Drosophila melanogaster: one gene and its partner. The protein of the gene in region 1 interacts with the protein of each later gene in a pairwise test. Each region holds a gene or a part of one and is shown on either strand. Other genes may lie near its edges.

Region 1 (10,790 bases):
ATCATTGGCGCTGCCTTCCCTTGGTCTTTTATTAATCTGCCTTATCTTTTTATTCAGAACGCAAACTGCTAGCTGCCAAACAGCGGGACGAAGTCTGGGAGAGCTAGACCGCGGCCCGGAAGAAGGCCAGGTGCATTTTTCTCACCCTTTTCTCATCTGCAATAAATGCGGCAGCAAACACAACACCATGTGGATCGACAACAAGAAACACCACCATTAACGCCCACAAAAACAATTCTCAATCAAAGCTAACACAGTAAATGAGTAATTCGCATGCTAAGCAATGTACTTTTAATGTTCGCTTTTTGTGAAATTAACACAGACTTTTGCTCAATTTGTTGTAGTTTTTAGAGGATGCAATGCATATTATATCATCTAGGCCGTAAGAGAGAAATATCTATATTTATTGGTCGTAGCAATTAAACGTGCAGAGAGACGCGTGTACGTGTTGTTTTAACTCCAGCCGTAAACCTAATTTTTAAGCGCGAGCAATTTATATATTGATATACAGTTTGTCAAGAAACTGTTTACACACTGTGAAATAAGTTGAATTTTTGACTTTAAAGCTAAAAATAAAGGGTTTTTTGCTTAATTAAACGCAATTTTTTTATAAAATATAATTAAACAATATTTATTTTACTTATAAATCAAAAAACAAATTAAAAATATTAAATATACAAGAAAATAAACAACAAATTCCAAGTTTACACACTTTTGAGACTGTCAAGAAACTCTTTACACAAAACACTAAATCGAAGTTTAATCCTAAATTTTTTAATTATTTTATTAAAATTTTAAAAGTTTTGGTATGTAGTATGTTCCCCATTGGCTTTAGCTACAAGTTGAAGCCTTTTTTTCATGGATTGGACAAGTTTTTGCAGGTCATATTCAAACGGGATCTTTTCACACTCTTCGACTATTACAGTCATAAGCTGTTGTTGTGTTTTAGGTCCCTTTTTGCCACCTTCTTCTTTAAGTAGGTCCACAAATTTTCAATGGGGTTCAGATCAGGACTCTGAGGGGGCGTATCGATCACTTTACCACAGTTATTAAGGCGCCAGGTGCGTACATTGCACTCTTTATGTTTCTGATCATGTCCTGGTAAAACTTAAGATTTGGCTTGTTGTTGCTAACTAGACCGAATTTTTCTGCACTGGCCTTCAAATTTGTTTTTTAACATTTCTAGATATTGCACGGCAGTTATTGTGCTCTCAATTAAGGCTAGTTTTCCCACTCCACGGCTGGTGATACAGCCCCAAACCATCAGTGACATTTTTCCAAATTTTATCGTTGGAATGATATTTTGTTTTTCTAGCGCACTCAACGGTTTGCGCCATACTCTGCTTGGCCCGTCGTTATAAAAGAGCATCATTTTTGTTTCGTCACAAAATATGACGTCATCCCAGTACTCTTCCGCATGATCCATCATGCTCACAGCGAATTAATGACGCTTTTCCATATTGGCATCTGATAGCAAAGGGTTTTTCCTTGCAAATCTTGAAGAGTACCTATGGCGTAGGATGACTTGGCGCACAGTTTCGTGTGACACAGTTAGGTGGCATTCTTGCCTGATATCCAGAGCAAGTGATCTGACCGAGATTCGGGGGTTCGCAATCACTATTCGCATAATAAAGCGGTCTACACGCTTTTTAATTTTAATTTTCCGCCCACCACCGCTCTTAGGTTCAAGCCTGCCCTCTTTTTCCGAGCCTTTTAAAACATTGTAGACGGTCTTACGGGATACAGGAAACATTTATACTAATTCTGGAAAAGATTTTCCCAACTGGTGGTTATAGTTTATTAATTGGGTAACTTCAAAAGTTAATCTCTTTCCAGGCATTTTATTAAATTTAATAATTCGCTTTAAGCACGTTTGATCAGCAAAATTTCACAAGCAAAGTCAACAAAATTTCAATAGAAGCGTTGTAAAAAGCAATGCAAAGCCAAAAATAACGGAAAAATCGAGTTCGTTCTAAGAAAAAGAACAAAACAAAGTAGGAAAACAAAATGTGTAAAGAGTTTCTTGACAGTCTCAAAAGTGTGTAAACTTGGAATTTGTTGTTTATTTTCTTGTATATTTAATATTTTTAATTTGTTTTTTGATTTATAAGTAAAATAAATATTGTTTAATTATATTTTATAAAAAAATTGCGTTTAATTAAGCAAAAAACCCTTTATTTTTAGCTTTAAAGTCAAAAATTCAACTTATTTCACAGTGTGTAAACAGTTTCTTGACAAACTGTATATATTTTAATAAAGTTTATAGCGTAAGTAAAAGTTAACTGAGAAAGTGTTTTTTACTTAAAAAAAATTGGATAGATCATAGCATGGCCATACATCGCTTTTGATTCGCCAATGCAGCACAGATATTTTTTCTAAAATAATATTCTTTCAAAATTGCAGTTACGCGTTAATATGAAATGAAAATTCAAATATTTCATAATGAAATTTATGTTGGCAATGCTGAACTATGCATTGGTGTCGGAACGACAGTATGGTATTTTTGCGTATTACGGTCACACCAATGCCGGCAGAACAATTTGTTATTAAAACAAAAAGAGTTAATTATAGCGCTTAAAAGGTAACAGCTGTGCGTTTGCATTGTTGCTTAATGCAAGCAAGTTAACTACCCTGCAACTAAAAATAAATATTCAAATCGGAGCTAGGCAATCGCATTGGCATTGGAATTTTAGTAGTTTTGTAAACTATATTTGTTTAAATCGGTTACACGCTGACAACTATAAATTATAATAGCAGTGAAGTGAATGAAATTGATAAGCTTATCTTTTCGGAAGCGCAGCAACAATAAGCGCGTTCCACCAAAATCAATTGAAGTTCTGCCCGTTGAAATAGTTACTTTTTTGACTGCGTGGCTACAAGTTGTGGGCGTGTTCGAATTTTGGGTATGTGCGTACAGTAGAGACTGGCTGACACGGACGGAACAAGGATTTAGTACATAGAAGGAGTATCTTTTCTTTGAAGTTTAGTTTTGTTCCTAATTAACATTCAAAATTATATATCTTTACATAATTTACAAAATTAAAGATAGTTGGGCGACCACTGTACACAGATTTATTATAAATATAAAGAGCGGCAATAATTGTAAAGGCCGCGTGTAATAAATAGCGTATAAACCGAATCCAATAGCCATATACGTACGTGGATCTCGTTTCAGCCCAATCATGTCCAAGTACTTATCTGTCCTACTGCTGTCCGCGGCACTCGTTGGAGCTGCCAAGCCGGAAGATAATGAATCGTGCTATTCCTTCGCCGGCGGCTCCGTTTATCCCGACCAGCCGAAGGGCGACCATCAGCTGCAGTACACCAAGGCAGTCAGTGAGTTCCATTGGATGCAAAAAACCAGGGATCACTATTAAGTTGCTGCTACCCTTATTTCCCCAGTTTCCAAGCCAGCTCCGCAGTTCGAGGGCACCGCCGTGGTTAATAAGGAGATTGTGAAGCTATCATTGTCCCAGTATCTAGGGAAATATGTGGTGCTACTCTTCTACCCACTGGACTTGTAAGTTTACATTTACATTTAGTATGATCGCATTTCTCATTGCCATTTTAGCACCTTTGTATGCCCAACGGAGATCATTGCCTTCTCCGACCGCATCGCCGAGTTCAAGAAGATCAAGACCGAGGTGATTGGCGTCAGCGTGGACTCGCACTTCACCCACTTGGCCTGGATAAACACGCCGCGCAAGGAGGGCGGCCTGGGCGACGTGAAGATCCCACTGCTCTCCGATCTAACGCATAAGATCAGCAAGGACTACGGAGTCTACTTGGAGTCCAGCGGTCATGCGCTGCGCGGTCTCTTCATTATCGATCAGACCGGAGTGCTGCGACAGATCACCATGAATGATTTGCCCGTGGGACGCTCTGTGGACGAGACTATTCGTCTGGTTCAGGCCTTCCAGTATACGGACACCCATGGAGAGGTTTGCCCAGCAGGTTGGCGGCCAGGTGCCGATACGGTAGGTTTTTTGAAGCATTGCCTTAGGTAAATTCTTTTTGATACCATTACCTTTACAGATCGTTCCCAATCCTGAGGAGAAGACGAAGTACTTTGCCAAGAACAACTAGGGACAGATAGAGATGCACATTACCTTAGTAGCCTAGCCCAGTTACATTCCTAATGTTCACGACTGAATCACGATGCAAACGAACAATCGCTAGAGTCCTCTGTACAGAAAATCCAAATCCGCAATGCCACCGATTGTGAATATTTCGCATTTGCTTTGTACAAAACATAGTTTGTTTATTTTACAGCATAACTGAGATATAAATAAATTCATGAAGTACATGTGAAGGTGATGAAAATTGCGCGGCGCCACAGGAGCGGTACCAAAAAGGAGGAGATGTTTTCGATCTCAAAATGCCTTGAAAGCTGGCTCACTAGGCCACTCTAATGGGTAACAATTCGATTGCAATTAGTTTCATACAAAAATATATGTAATATGTAATATGTAGTAGGTAAAAGGTAATAGTAAATTAGTTAGGTACGCCATGGTTGCAATTAAGTTATCCTGTGCTCCGACCTATGCGTACAACAAAGCTAGGTCTGTCGAGGTATATAAATCTGGGGAAACGGGACGGGGGCGACGACAATAACTAGGACGTCATAAGGCACTCGTTCTCGTCGGATTCTTCGTGTGTAGTCTGCTTTCTGTTTTCCGTTTTGTGCGTTTGTCAGTAAGTGCTTCATTGTGGTGAGCTTTAAATGCCAAAACCGAGGTTCATAAAATAACGAAGGTGCAACTGCGGTTCAGATCCAAGTTGTGCGGGAGATTCCTTTGCTGCGGAGATTCCGTATCGATCAAAGCGTTGCACTGTTCAGATTCCCGGAAACGTTAATCAAATAAGGGGTTAAAAAGTTCTTAGAGCTATGACCATGCAACACGTCGAACCAAAAAGCAGTCGGCGATTATAATGTTTGGGCGTTTGTTCCTTTAGAATGCGATTCATCATACAGCCTACTGCTCGTAGTAAACCGCGTCCTGGAATTAAGACAAACACAAATCAATGAAGGGAAACGAGTATATAGCACTGGCATATGCTTTATTTCACTCAGTGATATATATGATATACTGATATACTCACAATCAAAAAGAGCGCTGCGAATATGAGCGCCTTCATGCGGACATCCAGATTCAGGGGGAAGGTGACGCTGAAGTAGTCCGCATCGGTGAACAGCTCCCTTCCCAGTCCGGACCATTGTTTGCTGATTTTGCCGATCTCCTCGTTGTTGGCGCTCAATACCTGTGCGCGGTTAAAGGGGCGAGAGATGTTTGCGTTTCGCATTAATCGGTTCGCAGTTCGCGGCATCGCAATTAATTGACTCGCTCTGGACAGTCAGGCATGGCTAACCATGACGTCACTGCCTCGGACTGCAGTCTCTTTGCTTCTGTACGATCACAGCAGCGGTCAGTAAAAGGGCTCATAGATCGGCACAAACACTTGGTGCATTTTAGCCATAAAAAGTATAAATTGATTGATTGATTTTCCTATATCTAGAGGCATCTGTTAAATAACGTATACAATTGAAAATTTAAAACTAGTGTGGGTGCTATTAATTTGAACGCTTCTGTCTGTTCATAATTATTTAGAATATATGTATATAGGCACTTATAAATGTTTAATAATTAAAAAAGCAATTAAGTGGACGCCTGATACTGTTCATTTTGGAATTTTATAAAGCTTCGTCTTTGACTGATGAAGACCATACATATGTACTCCTCCGAAGAATTTAAAGCTAATCCGCTGACCGCTGCTGTGTGTGTATACACTTGTTTGGGCATTGGGAATCGAGATCGAGAGCCAAGAATAACCACTTGTTGGCTGCGTACTGACCTTGAAGTTGGTATCGCTGAAGCACTTGCAGGGACAGACGGGTCCCTCGATCTGCAGGACGGTATCGCCGCATGTGTTCTTGATGTTGAACTTGGGCCGCATGAAGGTGCAGACCTGCTCAACGCTACCGATCACCTGGCCGGGTGGCGCCGACACCTCCACGGCGTTCATGCAGCTGGGAAAGCAGCAGAGGATGTCGCACTTGAAGGGCCGGTACAGGTGGAGCACCTCGTTCTGAAAATTGTCCAGTATCTTCATCTCGAAGGGGCGCGACCGGCCGAGCATGTTGCGGGTGCAGCAGTCGCTCTCCTCGTACGCGAAGTACACATTCTGGCCCAGTGAGTTCTTCACCTTGAAGCGGTTCTTCGTCTCGAAGCCGGTGAGCAGCTCCAGTTTCTCGATCTTCTGCGACACGAGCAACTGGTCCAGAGCGGTCAGGTATTCCAGTCCCTGCGGGCAGTTGGGCATGCCCACGGGTATCGACATCCAGTTTTCTGCAATGGGGCGTTGTTCCGGATTAGCTCCCTATGTATTTATATTTATCTATATGCATAAAGTGCTTTTCCGATATCTATGCATGGGTAAAGGAAATTAGCATAGCTACAATGGCGGTCAGGCGATTAGGGCCAGTGATAGCAGTTCTTAACATAAACTAATATTTTAAACAATATGTATTTACGTATTGACTTGGAATCACTTCACTTTTTGGTACATTATAAAATATCTTTTTTACATAGATAACTATGGGTGCTATTGCCATGCCCGCTGCTGTACTAAATGCCAAGAAAGAGACGACGGCATTTCCGCCTTTCGCACACGCCCACTAGCCCACACAGACGCGCGCAACCGACTAGGTCCATCCGAGTGATGGAATTCAACAGTGGACAAATCCATATATGTCCATCGCTACGCACCAGGTCCGTTGGCATTGTTGCCAACATTCGCCGCCTGCGGCTGCAGGACCACTGCGCCATTCTCGTCCTGCGGTGCATTCTGCGGGAGCACCTTGTACTCGCTCATCTGCATCATTGTTATTCCCAGCAATTAAATTCGTATCGGATTCTTTAACAGTTCACAAAACACTAAATGCAGGGTGACCGCGTTGCGAACGCCGAAAAATGCAACGCAAATGCACCGTACGAAATATTCTGTCATATATTTTGGTATTTATTCGAACACAGAAAAATATCAACAAAAAGCTTTCAGCACTCAATGCAGTGACAAGTTAAATTTGTTATGAGCTGACGTTTTTGTGGATTCATTTGTATTATTGCATTGTATTGCAATAGTTTCCTTAAGCTAGCCTCTTTAAGTTCTAAGAATTTTGAGTTTATTTGTGCCAGTTGGTATATTCGCGCCTGCCACCGACGGTAACACTGCGGCTATGATTGGATGATAAGCGATCCATAAAAGCCTGGACACAAAAGACCTGAAACATGCTGCTTGGCAGCCGAATCTCCAGTCGAAATGAGCGAATCTCTTGATAAGACCACCAGCCCGAGCTCGGCCAGTTCCAGGGCCACGCCCCCGGGAACGCAGGATGCGGATGAGGGCCACGACGTGAGCGATACCTTCTACACGAGCCAGCGCAAGAAGGGCAGCCACGTATTTCGGGTGCGCCTTGACGCCACAGGATTCACCCTGCAGCGGGAGTCGCCGGGCGGTAGCATTGTTAAGGAGCAACATGTCCGCATATCGGACATTGTGGGTGCCCGCTGCATGCGGCCCAAGAAGAGCCGGCGCCTGGCGATGTCGGGCGCCTGTGCGTGCAGCTCCGGTAATCCCAATTCGCCAGCCATCTCGGCGTCCGGCGATCACCATCGCCCTGCCACCACACCAAGCAAATGCAGCACCAATAGTCGGGATAATATTCCTTCGGATGGCGGCGATGTCAGCGCGTTTCTCTACGTTTTTGCCTATGTTCTGAAGAAGAGGAGCCTGCGGTCGGAGTTGCACCGGGAGCGAACGGTGCTCACTCTGCGCTTCCGGTCGTTCGACACCTTCGAGGACAACATGAGGGAGGCGGATCGTTGGTACAGATCCCTTCGCTGGCAGTTGCATCGCACGCTGGAGGAGATCTTTGTGGCGCCGACGGTGGATGAGCGACGCCGTCGAGTGCTTGTGCTGTTGAATCCCAAATCCGGTTCCGGTGACGCTCGTGAGGTCTTCAACATGCACGTGACGCCGGTGCTCAACGAGGCCGAGGTGCCCTACGACCTGTATGTAACCAAGCATTCCAACTTTGCCATCGAGTTCTTGAGCACCAGGTGCCTGGACGCCTGGTGCTGCGTGGTGGCTGTCGGCGGAGACGGTCTCTTCCACGAGATAGTCAATGGACTGCTGCAGCGCCAGGACTGGGCCCACGTCCTGCCTCATCTGGCACTGGGAATCATTCCTTGCGGCTCCGGAAATGGATTGGCCCGCTCCATTGCCCATTGTTACAAGTATGTTATCTTTGTTTCATGTTTCATTAGGAAAAACCCCCTTTTGACTTATGTGGATCTTCATATTTCGTGTAAAACAATCCCTCCAGCGTCTAGCCATGCAGTTTATCATTAGATTACATTCATAAGCAAAAGTAGTTTTCTTATCGTGTCAAATGGTTTTGTTGTTTTGCAAGTGGGGATATCCCCTTAAAGTTAAATTGACGTCAGACTAGAACAAACTTTCCACATCGTTAAGTAATTGCCCCCCAATTTCGTTCAACATTTAGTGGCATATCATCGAACTTTGAAATCTTTATGTTCTTTCTTTATGTTCATCTATAGCTCAACTTCCCGATAAAAGAGTATAAAAAGGGTAATAGAAAAGAATGTTTATAGACTTTAAAACCACATTCAGGTGTCTCATATCCGATCTATTGGTCGTAATCCGATTATCAGTCTTGTGTTGAAACCTATTCACTTGAAACCTTTCTCCCCAGCGAACCATACTTCAGCAAGCCAGTGCTAGGAGCTGCTCTGACCGTAATCAGTGGACGCAGTTCACCCATGGACGTGGTCCGGGTGCAGCTGCAGAGTCGCTCCCTCTACTCCTTCCTGTCCATCGGCTGGGGTCTGATCTCGGACGTGGACATCGAGAGCGAGCGCATTCGCATGTTGGGCTACCAGCGCTTCACCGTGTGGACCCTCTACCGTCTGGTGAATCTGCGCACCTACAACGGCCGAATCAGCTATCTTCTGACGGACCATGAGGTGTCCTCAACCCATAGCGCTACCGGTTATGCTGCCCAGCGGAGAATGCAGAGCAGCCGTAGCTGCAACACGCACATCGACATGCTAAATGGGCCGGCGCCCATCTATCATTCCAGTGCCGAGTACCTGCCACAGGAGTTTGCGGACGTGATCTCCCTGGAGACGTCCATCAATCAGTCGTTCCGCTCGAGGTGCGACAGCTGGTTGTCGGGGGGATCGCGGCGCAGCTTTTACTATTCCATATCGGAGAGCATCTACCACAGTCTGGCGGATGAGAGCGAGTTCGCCGGCCTGGCGGCCGCCTCGCTGGAAAACCGGCAGCAGAACTACGGTCCGGCAAGCGAGCTGCCGGATCTGAACGAACCGCTGTCCGAGGATCAGGGTTGGCTGGTGGAGGAGGGCGAGTTCGTCATGATGCACGCCGTTTACCAGACCCATCTGGGCATCGACTGTCATTTTGCGCCCAAGGCCCAGCTGAACGACGGCACCATCTACCTGATCCTCATACGCGCCGGCATCAGCCGCCCGCACCTGCTGAGCTTCCTCTACAACATGAGCTCCGGCACTCACCTGCCGGAGTCGCACGACGACCATGTGAAGGTGCTGCCAGTGCGAGCATTCCGCCTGGAGCCCTACGACAATCACGGCATCATCACGGTCGACGGCGAGCGCGTCGAGTTCGGGCCCCTCCAAGCTGAGGTCCTGCCGGGCATAGCCCGCGTCATGGTGCCCAAGTAGGAGGAGCTTACTGAAGACCATCAAGCAATAGAAATCTCAATTTTGGAATCTCTGCATTTGTAGCTAATACTTAGGGTCCCAGGTGGCCGATATGAGAGAGTTGTGCATTCTACATATTTCGTGTTTTTGTGGCCTGCTTCTGCCAACCAATCATGTATTGTTAACATTTTAAACACAATAACAGCTATTTCCGAAATATCTAACATGTTTGTTTATAAAACGTGTGCCATATGAAGTGCACGTGAATTTATTTTTATCTCGGCTGTTCAAAATAGCGATGAAAGTCTTATTTATTTTGTTCTTTTTTTTTTTAAACTGTGTAACGAAATGAGATATATATTCAAAATGTTTAAAGATGAATACAAATAAATCTTCATGAATTCAAAAATCTTAGAAAGTAACAGTGTAAGTAACAGAGCTAAATCATTTACAATTCCATATTTTAAAGTAGGAAGTTAAGAATATAACATCTTTGAGCTTGAAATAAAAAATAAAAATGTTAACTAATTTCAGCTCTGTTTCAATTTGTTTTCTTCTCTTTACTATATAGTTTAAAATATTTTTCAAAATTTATTATCAATTAAAGCTTTTATTAAAATGTAACGGTTCCAACCAATAACGGTAATTTTTCGGTATTTCGTGCTTGCATTTAGTATTGTTGTGGAACGCAAATGACAGCTTTTAGAGAGTTTCAGCCGGTCACACTGGTCGAAAAAAAAGAAAAAAACAAATCCGTTCCGTTTGTGAAAAAACATTTCCGAGTAAAAATAAACAGCGCTGCTTGCATTTCACATAGTGTCAGCACATTCCGATTCCAGTCCGCGACTCTCCAGCACGGAATCCCAGTCTGCATTCCGGTCAGGAAGCGATTCGTGCTCTACAATATGTCGTCCGAGGAGCTGGCGCCAATTAACGAGCAGGACTTCAAGGATCTCAAGGAGCGCATGAAATTGATTGTGGAGGCGGATCCAAAGCAGTATCACAATGACTTTTCGCTGCGTCGCT
Region 2 (8,489 bases), on another chromosome or scaffold:
CAAATGCGATTAGCGCGTTATCAAATTCGCGTTCTGCCCCACTTTGAATCCAACTTATGTACGATACCAGCCGCGTCAAACGAAAAGTTTAAATAAATGACTGCAAAAACTTTGCTAATCTGACGGAAAACAAGCGTATTCTGCCAAAAAGCAGCGCAGTTGACTTTGATGCTGGTTAGACCGCACTGAAATTCGTCAATTTTCGAAATGCCACCGAAGAAATCAAGGCGCAACAACAGCCTCGTGGTAAATATTAATTTAACTTTGCACATTAGCGGAGCAATGACACTTGACTGCGGAGAACCTGTGGCACCACATCTCGTTGGAAACTGGCCACAAATGTTGGTGGAACACTAAACCCAAACCGCCCCCCGTAGCACCTAAACAACCAACCCCCCCCCCCTCCCAGGGGAGGTAAACCACAGTTATTTGTCTATTTGCCTATGCGAAATTTGATGCGCTGTCTGCTTGTGCTTTTTTTCTCATGGTGGCGATGCTCGCTCGCTGTGTCTCTGCTGTTCTGGTCCTCATTATCGTAAATTTTTATGCTAAATACATTTCGTTGTTGGACCCAAAGATACAAACACCAAAACCGAAAGCGACAAAAGAAAATCCTGACCCTGGGCGTCAGAATTGGGATGCTCTTTTAAAAATGGACCCAAATTAAAGAGGACAGTTCACCCTTAATAAGTAGTAAGAATGCAAAAAAAGTATTGAAAGAAATGATATTTAATGTAAATATATTTAAAACGTAATAGATACAATTTCTTACATATATCAGTTGCGTACAAAATATATATACATATATGTATATACATATAGAAATTATAACATTTTTATATTATTTTTCTTTTTTGGCCTACAGGATGCCGAAACACATCGCATGTAAGAAAATACATGCTCTTCCTAGTCAAATGTACATTAGGGTACCACCATTTGTGGCAGATGCCGTCCCGTGGATGCGACTCCTCCGATGACCAACATAATCAAGGAATTCGCATATGGAGGGCCGGCCCGTGGATCCTGACAAATTGAACAATTTAAAGAGGGCTTTGTGGGTTTATTGTGGACGAGCTAAGTAGGTCTGTGTGCCGGTGATACAAGAGCTTGGGCGGCTCGTGGTGCCGCCTTGAAGTAAGCCGAATCGGAGTTCGAAAAAATATAAAAGTATTAAAGGTCTGAACGAATGGATACACAGGAATTTTTCACGTTCTGGAAGATTTCACATTTTTTGTTATTTATCACGCTTGAAAGATAATCTTGCAAATTTTCCGCGGCTGTTTTTAAAGAGATTGTCACCCTAGCGGCTTCCTTCCGAAAAGGTTTGTATTCACTCTTTAACATCTGCTTTTTAAGTTGAGTTGTTATCATCTCATTACTTTTTTCTATAAATTCATAGAACTCCCTGCCAGTATACTTATCTTGGTCCAAGAACCTAAACCGTTGAAGACATAGTCCTTGATGTTTTTCGAATTTGAGCTTAAAGGAGTCTAGTTTTTGAATTTCAATCTGCAACTGATCCCCTAATTTCTTGCTTCTGCAGTATTCATCCCGTACCAGTTTTTTGGCCAGATTGGATGATCTTCGGACGGATTGCATCTGAGTCAGTTGGTGCTGTAGTTTATGGCTTGCAAACTTCAGCTGAAGAATTTCGGGATGAACTTCCTTTACATTTGTCAAAAATATATGATCATCCAGGCAGGGATCTATTTTTGGGCATTCCGGTATATTGGTACCTAGTTGGTAATTGAGTCGATTTACGCGCCGCTTTAAGCGAAACACCTCATCGTAAATATCTTCGAGTTCCAGATTGCTTTTCTCGTTTGATTCTTCTAGAACTTCCTCAGCGATCCAGCAATCTTCGGATTGCAAAACACTCTGCATCGTGCAGTGAAACACTTTTTTTGGCCCGTTATGTTTGAATGCGAACTTTGATTGTGCCAGTTTCTTATCATTTGGTTTAGTGTTTTCCATTTTACTTATTCCTGCTGCCTTGCACGATAAATTTTGGTCCACTGATTGCAGTATTGGTAATGAATTCATCTTGAATTCATTCCTCCAAATTAACCAATATCCAATTAACTGTGAACTTCAAAACGGAAACTAACTCGGTACACAACGAGCACTTCCAGTGTTTTCAAATCATCTAACACAAATCTCAATGAAGGCTTAGATAAAATATCGTATATATCGATCTATCTATGGGTTTGTTCGATCTTTTAGTTGGGTACGTGCAATTATTATATCCTTTTTCAAAGCGTCCCTTAATTTGTAGTTTTAACTACAACTAATGCAGTCTTCAACGCAGATATATACGCAATATATAAAAATGTTATCGGCAAGAAAATCCACTGAAAAATTTGCTCAACTCCCATTCACGGAATTTCAAATCCTAACAAAAAGCCTGCTTAATGTGAATTTAAAATACCAAAATGAAGACGGAAAAAGTTGGGATACTATACTGTCCCAAATAAAATAGCAAAAACATAAACTTATTTATATATAAATACAATTATAAGGAAAATACATACTTATGTTGTTATTTAAGCCAGGTTCTAGACACTCTGAACTCCAAAAATGTAAGAAGAGTTTGGATGCAGTGTGCACTCAATGGGTAAGCTCACATTATTGAATAGATTTTGCGGAAGGCAGAAGCTTTCCTTTTCACTGAATGACAGCGGAAAATGAAGTGAAATCTAATTAAAACCCTTTGCTAAAATCACAATTGTCAGCGAAAGCTCACGCACACCTGCTCGCAAAACTCACGAGCACACAAACACTGACACAGACAGATGGACAGACACCGGCGATTCCCATACGCAAACAAATAGAGGATCCGATTCTGAGCCCGAGTGGGGCGGTCCTGGCAGGTGAAAAACAGACGTCAGCTGTCCAACTACCCGAATGCGGAATCTGGTGAAAACAGTGCAAAAGTTTTGACCAGAAATAAAAGAAAGGCGAACTGTACTCGGCTTTGGAAGCCACCACCACTTAGTGATGCCAAAGAGAACCTGTGTTTGTAAGATTATTACTAGGAAAACCAAACTTGAATAATACCAATAAATATACAGGAAAGACAGGACAAATCCAATTTATGTTACATGTTTTGGATGTCTACATCACCCATGAAACTCCGCGAATCTAGCCATTAGTTAAATGGCTTAATAAAAATTGTTTATGTTTATTAGGGTAAATCATTGACAGTTTCATAATTTGATTGTAAATGATGGTAATCGGTAGCTTACAATAAGCTGGCTCACCTTTTTTTTTAAGATTTCTTAGGATAGGTAAGTGCCATCTCTGATTTGAATCTAGATGCCACGGGGTGAGGGGCACATAACCTCCAGGAGCGAATAAAACGCGCTGTTGCACACGAAAAATAACAAGCTGCGTTGGTCAATTCATCGAATGTCGGTCAGGGCTGCCGCCAGGGAGAAATGGATTGGGCAATGGGCACTGGGCAATGGGAAGCAGGAGCCCGGAGGTGGGTAAGACCACCTGGGCGGAGGTCCATGCAGGGGGCGACATAAAAGTTTCACACCCAGCCATTTGGCCATCAGTGTCCAACAGAGCCGTTGGGCCGGAGTTGCTGTGTTTGAATTAAAAGAAATTAGTTTAGTTATGCCAATGCTCCCCGGGCTACGCTATTGAGTTATCGGCCAGGCAGGAGTGGGACAACTTGGTGCCGGTGACAGGAGGCAACTCGGATGGATAAATTGCAAGTTTTCCCTTACAATTTTGAGTGTGTGCTGCTTGTCCTTGCGTGCCTGGAATTTCAGAAAAAATAAACGCTTTGCGTGTTGCTCTTCTGATGTCGTTTAACCATTATGTGGCATGAATTTGCCATTTTCATTTAAATGCTGCTCTTGGCAGCGAGTCAACTCGTTGGCTTTTTAGCGACTGTTCTGCATTCATAAGCAGCAATCGTATATATCCTGCGGAATGTACTGAAATTGTTGTTGGATTTAGGTCTAAATGTATACAAAACTAGTATTCTTATTTGTTAAGCCCTGAATAAATTTAATTTTTAAATTGCATAAATTGCAGTGCAGTGAAATCATCTGTAATACCCATAGTACCAAAAACCTTATTTTTGTGAATGATTTTGTGTTGCGTACAAAACCTAGATTTCACGCTGATCATTTCCATTCCTAAGTTTTGAAAACAGCAGAGGTGCCATCACCAGTGACGAACCAGATTATGCTCATGCTGGTGCCATCGAAATTGATAGTGGAAATATGTGTGCTGAATGGGATATTTAAGCGCGCCTATCAAACACGCGCACAATAAATCTTCGTCACGGGCCCAAATTGACATTTTACAGCCAAAAACCAGAAACCAAAGCCACGCAGAGGACAAAGTAAGTTCCACTAGTCCGTGTTCCAGCTGCTTTTTTGCTCCTGCGGCTGCCGCTGTTTCGAAAGCCACTGATATTGTTGTCAACGATGATGGCCCAAGGCATCAGCCACATGTGTGGGAGCCAGAGCTCGTCCCTCCTCAAAGTGCCCTCGCACATGGTTGGCAAAGCCAAACCTTTATTGCCACAGCTCCATGGAGCAACAGCGAAAATTTAATATCTGGCTGGGGCGTGGCTCCATTGGAGCTGGTCCGTTGTTGCTGGCGATCAGAACTCATCGCATTATCCTTTGGCCTGGTGGCGGTTACTCGCTCAAAATAATTGCACACTGCACCCCCAATAAGTCTGTTCGCCCGTTTGATACAGAGAAATTTCTATTCGCATTTCCCAAACAAAAGTGGTGTACAAAAATAAAACTGCATATAAGTTTTAAAACATACGCCATACAAAATATATTAAAAAATGTCCGAAAAAATATTGTGCTTTTCCTCGTTCTGGTTTTCAGTGTCTCTGTGAAGTCATCTGTCAGTACCCTAATGCAAAAAGCATGAAACCTCAGGCCAGCTGTCAACACAACAAGCAAATTGCCGCGGAAGCATCAGTTTTGAGGCAACTAGACTTTTTTGATATGGAAAAACCCCTATCAGTAAGAGTCACTAGAACTATAGGTTTATTTTTAAAAATAATCAGCTCCTTTAACACAAAGTTAGACTTCTAAGTAGACAAACAAAATTTAACCCTCGTCTAATTTGTGTTTCTTTTGAGATTGGTTTTGATACTCAGCTTTCCATGCATTATGTCCGAATCTAAAGTCAACTTCATATTTTAGTAGATTTTTGGAACGATACTCATGTACAAATGATACAAACTGCATGAGAAGTGCACGGACTAAAAACTGTATTAATTAAGGGATCCTCCATACGCTTTATAGGTACACCAAACTAATTACAATTTAAGTAACTTTTAAATTACGTCACCAGAATTTCGAGGTCTTTAAAGCAATCAGAATCCTAGATAAGTTTGTCAAAGTTTTCGTGCTATAGTTATTCTCAAAAAAACATGTTTTTGGTGAACATATTGATTGTTTTGGCTCTATGTTTGGTATAATTAAATATTTAGTAATTTTAAATGAAATCTGATTTATTCTCCTGTATTCTAGTTGGTGTTGGTTATAGCTGATCTTCAGGAGGACCATCTAAATGAACACAATCGGTTGAGGGAGAAGCATGGAAGTCCGCCTCTGACCTTGGACGATGAACTCACAAAGGGATGCGAAGAATATGCTAAAGTATTTCGTTGGTTAATAACAATGTTACCTTTTTACACTTTTAATACCCTCGAACAGGTGCTAGCCAATAATGAAAAGTTAGAGCATTCAAGTTCTGCCGGTCAAAACTATGGTGAAAACTTGTGCATGCGGTCACAAACCCCTCTGCAATGTGTTCAAGACTGGTACGACGAAATCGCGGACTACGACTTTGAAAAGCCACAGTTTGCAATGTCAACGGGTCATTTCACCGCCCTCGTTTGGAAGAATGCGAAAAAAATGGGTATTGGGCAAGCCAAGGACAAAAAGGGTTACTACTGGGTGGTAGCAAGATATTATCCACCAGTCAATGTGAACGGGCAGTTCGAAGAAAATGTTCTTCCGCCGATCAAAGGGTAAGCAAATTAATTACATCTGTAGTTTTTTCTTTCATTTTATTTCATTGCAGGGAAGGTGATGAAAATGGTCAAGGCAATTTGAATAGATTTCAAGTTGACAATATTCCCATCATAGTCATGCTTTGGTTATGCTGGCAATTCACAAATTGAGGGTCATTATCACTTTGAAGTTTTTGTGCCGCAGTTCTTGTAAATTTGTAGTTAAGCAATTTGAAAAACCAATTACTGATATTTGAAACTACTCTGTACCCAATAATAAATTTCACTTTTTGGAAGTTTGGTGAATATGCCATTGTTAGTTATGTAAAACCATTCTATCTAGTTGCTTGCAACTTGTAGTTCACCAGGAAGATATTAAAACAGCACACGATATTTAATGATCGAAACTGGGGAGTGCTGCCTTAACACTGGGGTGTTTGGCATTTACAAAAACTATTTAAATGCATGAAATATTTTGAATTAAAAAAAAGAGAGAATGTTATAGTCGAGTTCCCCGACTATCTAATACCCGTTACTCAGCTGCTGGCAGTGAGAACGTGATATTTCATAATTTTCTGGCATATCGATAGATATTGGAGAATTTAATGGGAAGGCGTGGCTGCATGGATGAACAAACTTGTGCTTTAGAATCTGTATGCTTTATCTTAACCTTATAGCTTATATAATTCCTGAAATTTCGACGGTCATACGAACGACCAGACAGACGGACATGATCCTGATCAAGAATAAATATACTTTATACGGTCAGAAACTCTTCCTTCTACATACTTCCTTGACATACTTTTTAACGAATCTAGTGTATTCTACTTAATTCTACGAGTAACGGGTATAAAATGTGTTAAAATTTATATTATTTGAAACAGCTATTACTACAGCTATAGAAATCCAATCTAAGACGACACAGCACTGGTGGGCGTGTGAGTATGTTGGGTTAATTTGAATTCGTGCGATAGGGATATTCAGTTTTTTTTTTTCACTAGGCGCGGGTTGTTCTGGCCTTTTTCTTTCCGCATTTATTTTTATCTTTTTTGGCAATCAGCATCAGCCGAAAGGAATTCCCCATTGACTATGCCGGTGTCAACAAAGTGGCGGAAAAGAATTAGGTATACTGTCTCGGTTGGCTGTTTATACCCTTCTACTATCTCAATCCTTAACAAGTTTTAGATGGCTTAATATATTTATAAAATTATATAAATTGTAATCATTTTTATGAATTATATCACATTACTTTACCACTAAGTCAAAATGGGTGACTTATGCACCTTTTGGGGTGGTACCTACCACGTACTGGGTATCTATAAGTCGGTGCAATCAACTAGAGCGCTATTTTATTTCAAGCTTTGTTTCCTACATGTCTGTTCCCAAGTGGAAGTCGATGTCTGGGGCTCAGCAGCTGCCGGGAGCGCATTAAATCCTTAAGCACTCATTATTATTCAATCAGATATGGAGTCGAATGTCTTTTTGTTTGTGTCTTACTTAGCCTCGCTTTCTGGGTGGCTGCGCCGTGCGTGGGTCCACCTAATGACATTCAAATTGCTTCCATCTCTGGTCGGTTTCAATTGGAACACCTTGCACAAAAATTAATGGAATTATAGATCACAGCGTCTAGGGATGCATGTTCCCCAGATATTTCTTTGACGTCTGGTTGAGTGTTAAATGTAATGAAAGCAGAAATTCTATACGGATTTGAAAGTTGGAAATTGGTACACTTCTTAAAGAAAATAGTGTGAAAAATGTGTGTCATTTGGAAAACTGTATTTTTTATGCATACCTTTAATGCGTTTGCTTTTGAGGGCTGAATAACTATCTTTCGAATGTCCTTTAGTTCGGGCACTTATAAAATGCTCCCCATCACCACTCTATTATGGTTTGGGTTCGACGGATAGCCGAGTTTGTCAACTATTTACAACTTGAACTTGGTCGTAATATTTATGTGCATCGTAAAGGCCGAAAGTTGGAGCGACGCACTGAGAAAATGTTGTGAAATCAAATTTACACACAAACCATCCCTAATGACCTAGCCCACAGACAGAACGGAAACACGGAGGCGCCACTCCGGAAAAGGACGAAGCCAAGTCGCGGAGCGTTGTGTCTCGTTGGCAGAACTTCATTCGCGGGGCTGGAAATTGTTTAATTTCGCCCTCTCTTAATTATCTGCAGTGTGCCGGGTGCTTAAATTATAATGGCGCTGACCTAATTGAGTAATAATTAAAATTAAGTGCATGCTAAATTGTTATTAATTATAAAGTGCACGCAAAGATGCCACCAACTTTCATCGATAGCGTGCTAAGGGATACTTAAAGGGCCCGGGCTAGTTGGTTGCAAGTGTCACCAATCGAGAAGGGCAGACTGAAATCTATGGCCCATTCAGACCATTTACAATATTCTCTTTTTAATAAAATAGCACTGCGGCCAAAAGTTAATTTACTTTTCGCGACGCGTAATAACTTTGGCCAAATATTAAATG

Evidence for each region.
Region 2: the proteins of Sk2 (region 1) and CG31482 interact in a two-hybrid assay, tested with the Drosophila melanogaster proteins (one large-scale study listed by BioGRID).

What each region holds. Positions count from the first base shown.
Region 1 is NT_037436.4:3,039,870-3,050,659, forward strand, and holds Sk2 (sphingosine kinase 2), read left to right. Parts: upstream 1-7,217; 5' UTR 7,218-7,320; coding exon 7,321-8,297; intron 8,298-8,776; coding exon 8,777-9,785; 3' UTR 9,786-10,290; downstream 10,291-10,790. Other genes in the region: CG2162 (uncharacterized protein), read left to right, coding at 58-107; Prx4 (peroxiredoxin 4), read left to right, coding at 3,183-3,336, 3,403-3,520, 3,572-3,977, 4,036-4,086; scramb2 (scramblase 2), read right to left, coding at 4,977-5,000, 5,104-5,262, 5,854-6,347, 6,768-6,882; CG32485 (uncharacterized protein), read left to right, coding at 10,670-10,790.
Region 2 is NT_033777.3:6,595,894-6,604,382, forward strand, and holds CG31482 (uncharacterized protein), read left to right. Parts: upstream 1-5,348; 5' UTR 5,349-5,416; coding exon 5,417-5,458; intron 5,459-5,516; coding exon 5,517-5,645; intron 5,646-5,702; coding exon 5,703-6,019; intron 6,020-6,072; coding exon 6,073-6,172; 3' UTR 6,173-6,308; downstream 6,309-8,489. Other genes in the region: CG1138 (uncharacterized protein), read right to left, coding at 1,171-2,043.